Caenorhabditis elegans: one gene and its partner. The protein of the gene in region 1 purifies or fractionates together with the protein of each later gene. This does not show direct contact. Each region holds a gene or a part of one and is shown on either strand. Other genes may lie near its edges.

What was found.
Region 2: the proteins of lsy-13 (region 1) and mmab-1 fractionate together in Caenorhabditis elegans (co-fractionation; one large-scale study listed by BioGRID). This does not show direct contact.

What each region holds. Positions count from the first base shown.
Region 1 is NC_003282.8:16,862,110-16,866,269, forward strand, and holds lsy-13 (ING family member lsy-13), read left to right. Parts: upstream 1-1,760; 5' UTR 1,761-1,765; coding exon 1,766-1,984; intron 1,985-2,633; coding exon 2,634-2,960; intron 2,961-3,018; coding exon 3,019-3,216; 3' UTR 3,217-3,377; downstream 3,378-4,160. Other genes in the region: mel-46 (ATP-dependent RNA helicase), read right to left, coding at 283-407, 473-611, 667-722, 919-1,099, 1,149-1,329; gtsf-1 (CHHC U11-48K-type domain-containing protein), read left to right, coding at 3,731-3,814, 3,864-3,949, 4,012-4,160.
Region 2 is NC_003281.10:4,919,894-4,924,005, forward strand, and holds mmab-1 (Corrinoid adenosyltransferase MMAB), read right to left. Parts: upstream 1,855-4,112; 5' UTR 1,762-1,854; coding exon 1,725-1,761; intron 1,651-1,724; coding exon 1,399-1,650; intron 1,057-1,398; coding exon 834-1,056; intron 788-833; coding exon 655-787; 3' UTR 549-654; downstream 1-548. Other genes in the region: ula-1 (NEDD8-activating enzyme E1 regulatory subunit), read right to left, coding at 1-261, 309-423; Histone-lysine N-methyltransferase set-2, read right to left, coding at 3,109-3,264, 3,318-3,482, 3,532-3,642, 3,690-4,001, 4,049-4,112.

The DNA of each region.
Region 1 (4,160 bases):
GCTAACTTCCAAGCTAAAATTAATTAAGATTCCAGCAAAAAATTGCGAAAAAGGCTAAAATTCCCTAAAATATTGCAATGGCTGAGGGCTGGAAACTTCGTCCGCGGCCATGACCGCGACGCAGCCACGCGTGCGGAGCGGCTCGAAAAATTATTTTTTTCAACGAGAAAACGTGATATTTCATCATTTTAGCCAATTTTTAAGCTAAAATTAACTAGTTTTTCGCGGAAAATGCAATTTTTCCAGTGTTTTCCAATAAAAAACATGTGTTGTTTTCAGTACCAGCGTTAAACCGAACAAGTGCCGCGTCGCGGAGAAAAGTCGACAACAAATTGTCAAGATTTCGCGGGTAGGTGGCTGAAAACACGGCAACTTGGCGGATTTGAGGCAGAGAATTGATGATAATACTGAAAAATCCGAGGTTTTTCGGGGGGGGGGGGGGGGGGGGGGGAAAAACTATGATTTTTCGTACTTTATATCATCTCTAAACACTTCATCCATCAGCTTATCCGCCTCATCGAGCACAAAAAAGTCCACATGGGACATGTTCATTGCTCCGAGCTTGACGAGCTGTGCTATCCGACCAGGAGTTCCAATGACGATTTGTGGGCCTGAAAAATAGAGAAAAAATGCGGAATTTTCAGATAATTTGGCTTAAAAACCCACGCGTTTGCTTCAAATCGATGAGATTCAGCTTGTGAGCGGATCCTCCAACGTATACTCTGAAAAAATTGCGGTTTTTCGGTGAAAAAATCATAAAAATTCGGATTTTTGAGGTGAAAAAATATAAAAATTTGAATTTTTAGGTGAAAAATCACAAAAATTCGGGTTTTTTAGGGGAAAAAGTCATAAAAATTTCGATTTTTAGGTGAAAATATCATAAAAATTGGGATTTTCACGATTCCTGGGTCTTCTTACGAAGTTCTAGCGCCGGTCGGAGCGACTTTCCGCACAGTTTCCTTAATTTGAACAGAAATCTCTCTCGTCGGAGTCACAATGACTTTTTGGATGTGTGAAGATCGAGAATCCAGGTTTTCTACGGCTAAAACCGAGAAAACGAGCGTTTTTCCGGTTCCTGACTTGGCCTGAACAAGCATATCTGAAAAAATAGCAGTTTTTAAGGCCCAGGCCCTTATAAATAGGCTGACCTCTTCCCAGCAAGCCGACTGGGATGGCCCGGGCCTGAACTGGAGACGGCCTGTCGAATTGGCTATTTTTCAGACGTTCCAGCGTCTTTTGTCCGATCATCAGCGACTCGAACGTGCAATTCGATTGGACATCGATCGAGCTGCCGCGGTCTAATACCTCGATTACCTCGGAGAACTCCATTGGCTCTGAAAATTAAAAATTGCTGTATTTTTCTGTACTTTTACAGATTTTAATGGCTTTTTCGGGATTTTTACCGAGTAAATTGGAAAAATCAATAATTTTCTTGGTTTTTAACGCGAAAAAATCAGTTGAAACTCGATTTTTTGGACGGAAAATTCATTAAAAAAACCGCTGAAAAATATCTAATTTCGCAAATTTCGCAACGGGGCGCGGTTCTATGGGCGGAGTTTAGCGAACGCAATAGCGCCGCACACTTTTTTGTTGTTTTTTTGTCATTGTTTTTTGCGGGAAATCTTTGGTTTTTTATTGATTTAATGACTCTTAGCACATTTTTTGTTTAAAAAAATGAAATTAAAAGTTAATTTAATGGATTTTGAAACGAAAAATGCCATTAAAACTCTGATTTTCCTCAAAAATTGCATTTTTCAGCTTAAAAATGGAAATCGACGATTGCGTCATCGATATGATCCAAGTTTTCTCGAAAATCAATAGAGAAGTTCCGGAAAAAGCGAAAAAAGCAATTGTCGAGATTGAACGGCTCGATATTCTTGCGAAGAAGGAGATGGAAGTTGCTAAAAAGCACAAAATCGAATTTTTTGCGAATTATGAGGAAATGACGGCCGAACAAAAGACCAAAGCGTTCACTTTTATGCAGGTTTAGCTCCTAATTTAACAATTTTCAGAAGAAAATGGCGAAAGTTTGAAAATTGCGGTTTATAGGTGAAAAAATCATGAAAATCGCGGTTTTTAGATGAAAAAATTATAAAAATTTGGATTTTTAGGTGAAAATATCATAAAAATCGCGATTTTTAGGCGAAAAATCGAAATTTTTTTGATTTTTTCACCTAAAAAACCCAATTTTTATAATTTTTTTCACCTAAAAATCCAAATTTTTATGATTTTTCACCTAAAAATCGCAATGTTTGTGATTTTTTCACCTAAAAATCGCAATTTTTATTATTTTTTCATCTAAAAATTCCAATTTTTATAATTTTTCAGCTAGAAATCACAATTTTTGTGATTTTTTCACCTAAAAATACAAATTTTTATGATTTTTTCACTTAAAAATCGCAATTTTTGTGATTTTTTTATCTAAAAATCCAAATTTTTATGATTTTCTCACCTAAAAAACCCAATTTTTATGCTTTTTCCCCTAAAAATTCCAGTTTTTATAATTTTTCAGCTAGAAATCACAATTTTCATGATTTTTTCACCTAAAAATCGCAATTTTTGTGATTTTTCACCTATAAATCCAAATTTTTATGATTTTTTCACCTAAAAAATGCGAATTTATCAATTTTCAGAAGAAAATGGCGAAAGTTTCCGAATATTCCGACCAAAAAATAGAGATTGCGAGCGGTTTGAAGGTTCTTCTGAAGGATGTCTACGGGAAATTCATGGAAGAAGAGCAAAAGTTCATTGAAAACCTGAATAAGATTCCAAAAGCACCGGAAACTCCGCCAAGCAGTTCTCCGTCAGTGCGAAGTCATCGTAAGAAGAAGCTTTCCGAGGGAGATGATGATGCTCCGTCGTCGGTGGATGAGAAGAAGCGCGGTCGGAAGAAAAAGCCAGAATCCGAGAAAGCAGTGGCCGCCGCCGAGCCACCGAAAATGTACTGCTGGTGTCAACTGGTAAGGGCTCCGTGAGCTTCCGCCGCCGCTTAATATCGCCAAATTGGGATAATTTCAGGATAAAAACGACACAATGATCGAATGCGAGAATCCGGGCTGCAAGTACGGATGGTTCCACTTCACATGCATCGGAATGATCACTGCTCCAGCCGGCGACTGGTATTGCACCAATGAGTGCCGTGCACAGGGTCTCGCGGCGGTTGCAGAGGCTCCGCAGAAGGCTCCACAACGAAAGGGATTGAAGAAGAAGAAGTGAATAATTGGTTTTTTTTCTTTGATTTGCCGCTTGTGTACCTATTTTATTTGAAAAAAAATCATCCGATGATCACAAAATTGTATTGGTTTGATCTCCCATTTTGCTTTATTATTCTATGATAAACTGAAACTTGTTTGCATATAAATTTCTGTTTAAAAAATTATTTTTTCTGACTCTCACAACGGTTCTGATGAATTTTATTCAGATTTTGAACTGAAAATTAACGATTTATTGATTAAACTTGGATTTTTGTTGGGTTTTTCCTTTAAAATTGCTGGATTTTCAATTTTTTCGGTGAAATCGCTGAAATAAATACATTTTTTCGAGCCGCTCCGCACGCCGATGCGTCGCGGTCAAGGCTTTTTTCCATGCCCACTCCTTGCAAAACCCCGTGCGGCACAATTGCGTGTAGATTTACGAAGCCCCGCCCAAGAATTTTTCCTCGATTTCATCCAATTTTTTTGGCGATTTTATCCAATTTTTCATCGAATTTATTGATTTTTCGAAATTTTAGATGGCGTCGGGAGAATCGGAGGCCCCTGGGACTTCAAAAAATGATCGATTTTCGATAACATGCCCTTACAATTCGGATCACAAGGTTGGAATTGATATATTTTTAATTTAAAATTAAAAATTTTATATTTCAGGTGTCAATGGAGGAGTTCAACACGCACTTGTGGAAGTGTCGCACGGAAAAATTGCATTTTTACCCGCATTCGTTGAAATTGAAGAGGTTTTTTTTTTGCTCAATTAATTTTCCAATTTTTCTATAATAATTATCATTATTTTTTTTAGATGCTCCTACAACATGCGTCACTTCCTTCCCGAAGAAGAGCTCCAATTCCACGAGATCTTCTGCAAACGTCAATCCGCCGATCTTCGACGCCAATTGTCACTGGAGCCGCTGGAGCTGAACGTGGCGGAGCACCTGGCGGCACAGAAGC
Region 2 (4,112 bases), on another chromosome or scaffold:
CAGCAACAACCACAGAAAACGTTGTCAGCTTTTCCACATCTTCCATAGCTAACGCTGTTGGTGGCTGACTACTTGCACTACCAGAGACTGATGGATTCAGTTCGGTAAGCTTCTCCAATGTTGCCTCGGCACGAGAACGTCCAATATCATCTGCATGGAGGAAGAAATTCTGACCGATGTCAGCTTGTTCAACTTTGGCGTCATCAACGACATAGAATGATTGAACACCGGCGAGAACCAACGATTTCAATATTTCTGTTGCTAAAAATATTTAGATTGGATTTTTAATTCAATTTTTTCAAAAATACCTAGCGAATCGCTTCCAAGAACACATGCACTTGTTGAACCAATTGATGCTTGTCCTTCTTCTCCCCAAAGTCGAACTTGACGATCGTATCTAGTGGATGGGTCAAATGGTAGCATTTTCTAAAATTATACAAGTTGGAAATCTGAAAATTTCGTTTTGGTTTCTAAACAAAAATATACATTATGAAGAGTTCACAATCAATTAATATAAAAAATTATAAAGAATCTCAAAAAAGAAAAATATATATAGACAAATCTGATATTTATGGCAAGATTATTCAATAAAAATTTTACACGAAGTGTATGGCGAGTTTCACAAGAATGATAACTACATATTTATAAAAAAAATTATTTTTTCTCGTGAAGAGATTTACGATCCCATTTCAAATTGGTGAACGAATCGGGGCGAAGATATGTCAGCTCTTCGTTCTTGTTTCTCATGCAGGCAGTACGACCGAGAACAAATAGAAGATCGCTCATTCTGAAATTGATATTTCTTACTAACGATGAATCGATAACCATAGTACCTATTCAAGAACTTTAATGCCATTGGATCGACGTCTTCGTCTCTCATAAGTGGAACAATACTCCGTTCAGCTCGACGACAAATTGCGCGGGAATACTGTAATTGAGCAGACGTCATTCCACCGCCAGAAAGAATAAATTGTCGGATTGCAGGCAACGCGTCTCCGTATCGATCGATTTCTGCATTTATCCATTCAACCATTGCAATATCGAATGCAGTTTTCTCTGAAAGAATAGAATACGGCTCAATAGTGATTTTTAAAAATTATTTTTTAGAAAAATATAAAGCCAGAGACCTTCATATGAAAATCTCCGATCTTTCCTCTATATGTGATTTTTATTTTATTTTAATTCAATAGAATTAACTTTTTTTTTGATAAACCAAACTTGAAAAAATTTGTTTGGTTTCCGAAAAAATTTCAGTTTTTTGACTTTCTCTGAAAATACCAAGTCACTTCGACTACTTTCTTGATTCGAAAGAATTTTCCGGGATTTAAAATAAAGATACAAAATTGAAAATCGGTAACGGAAACTTTAGATTTTTCACTCTTTAGAAAAAAAACACACTTTGTTTTCTCTCCGAAGAATTTTTTGGTGGAGTAGCAAGATGAGCTCCAACATCCTGTAGACAACATTGAAGGCGTGTTAATGTCTCCACTACATCGCTCATTGAACCATCGTTTTGAGCAGATGCTCCACAGACACCAAGAAATGAAGACAATTCATCGGTTGCTCCGAGAGCATTGAAAGTGTCGTCATCTTTCCAGCGACGCTCATTGTTGTACAGAGAAGATTGCCCAGAATCACCAGTTCCACGGCCTGAAAATTTAATTTTAACGTAGTAAAATCGGTTGCTCTTTCAGTTGAAATAATCGATGGTTTTAGACGTTTACCTTGTTTAAATCCTCTTCCCAAATCAGAAGAGCTCATCGAAATGTAGAGTTGACTGTTACGGGACAATGAGGAAAAAATGAGAAGTTTGTTCGTCGATTGTGATGCCAACCGTACGCAACTCCGAATCATCTAAATGCAAACATAGGTTTATCAGTTGAAAGTGGCCACTACGTGGTGACAAGGAAATTGCTAATGGTAAATTTTTCTTAAATTTTCGAGCTTATTCTATAGATTATTTGGTATGAGAGATGATGCATAATATTACCCTGGTATTATTGAAACAAAAAACATGACAAAACGAATCATGAATTATTGAAAAGATCCGGTATCATATTTTTTGAACCGAAAATGGTCATGTTTCGAACCTAGGTAACTTTTAAAAAAATGTATATACATAGGTATTTTTTTAAATAAATAGTAAACTGGAAAACCTGTTTAATTTTCACTATGAGACCCGAAGAACTCGGGGGATGTCCAACTGGGGGGATTACCAACTCGGGGGATTGGCCCCGCCCACAGAACCGTGGCTTGCAATACGCCCATTTCTGCAACTGCCGCACGGTTTTAAAATCATTTTTTCTTGTTAATCCTCGCTCTATTGATAAAAATACAATTTTAAAATCGTGCGGCAGTTGCAGAAATGGGCGTATTGCAAGCCACGGTTCTGTGGGCGGGGCCAATCCCCCGAGTTGGTAATCCCCCCAGTTGGACATCCCCCGAGTTCTTCGGGTCTCTTCACTATCGCTGATAAATACCAGAAATATGAATCGAACTGAAATGAACAAAATTTTTTAAAATACGAAAACCATGACTTTTAAAATTATTTCATTTAAAGAACATAATAAAACACTTTTTAAAACATAAAACTATTCAGACTAGCTGAAATTAACTTTAAACACGAATGAATAAAGACTTGAATGGGAGGTTGTTTTGGAAAGACCAATTGTTCAGAGTTCAAGGGAAAATGAATGATTTCAGAGATGTTCAAGTATAGAGAGATAAACAAGAGACTGTAGAGGAAATCCTCCAAGAAAACAATTCGTAAACCTATAGAGAAACAAGAGATTTGATAAAATGTAGAAGTATCTAGTTGAAAAGGGGAGCTTGTATCGTATAACATACACTCAAACAATTGTTCAACAATAACGAATTCCACTAATAATACAAGGATTTCTCAGCTCACCATAAGGAGAATGAATAACAATGATACAGTTTTCAATATTTAAAAAAAAAGTAGGAACCGGCCTATTCTTATCAGATAGCAATTTCCAACTTCGAACCAGCGAATTGGGAATTGGATAGGAAAATTTAAATAAATAAAAAATATTAAAAAACTAGAAGAGATCGAATGGAATATAAATTTTAAAAACTAGACGAATCATATCAATTAAGATATCCACGACACGTCTTCGCACCACACAGACAATCTATTTTGTCGTCTTCAATTGGGAACTTGTAGTCATACGTGATTTCTTCACCCTTCTTGATAATTGTTCGGCTGTAGATGACTATCCGCTTCTCGCCTTCGATTGTAAGAACCTAAAAATTTTAAATTATTTTTTTAAAATCAGATTATCAAATTAACTACGTACCTTCGCGTAGCAATTAGGTTGGCACGAGTGATTAATAAATCGAGCAAAATTTCCACGCTTTGTTGCATCGATCACATGATGCAGATCAATTCGGAACAGATATGAACTTCCGATTCCACGACGTTCATAAGCCTTTTCTCGTTCTTCGGCCACCAGAGATCGGATCTGAAAAAAAATCAATACTTCGGAATTTAATTTCACAAAAAAAACTGACCGTCTGTCCTATATACTCCACAATCATCTCATCTGGTGCAATCGACTCCATCGCGTAGAGACCCCATCCGTGAATACGAGAACGTGCAAACTTGATCATCTTTTTGCGGAACTGTAAATTTATGTTTTATGGCAAACATCTTTTTTTTGGAAAACTACTTTGAGCTGATTTATCTTGAAGAAATCATTGTTAGCATCACCAAGTGACGTAAGCAATCGACGTTGGAGCAATCTCATATCTTTACTGGCCAGATGCTGATGCCGAATCGCGGTTTCATCTCTTTCACTGAAGATTGCAGTCGGATGCGATTCATTATCAGGACGTCTCACAAGACTCCTTTTCTGCTTCATTGTCATCTTCTCGTATGGTCGAGCACGAGAGCATCCAGCAGCTACCGGAATTACTCCATCGAGTTCTTCATCCTCGTAGAAAGCATCTGGCAGTCCTTTTTTCGAACGAATCGGGTTGAGCTGAAAATTATGTTGATGAATAGAATAGTAGTAAAAGTATAACTCACTCTTAACAGAGGATCTTCTGATCTCAACATTTCTTTGAAGGTTAACATTTTCTTCCAGGGCAAT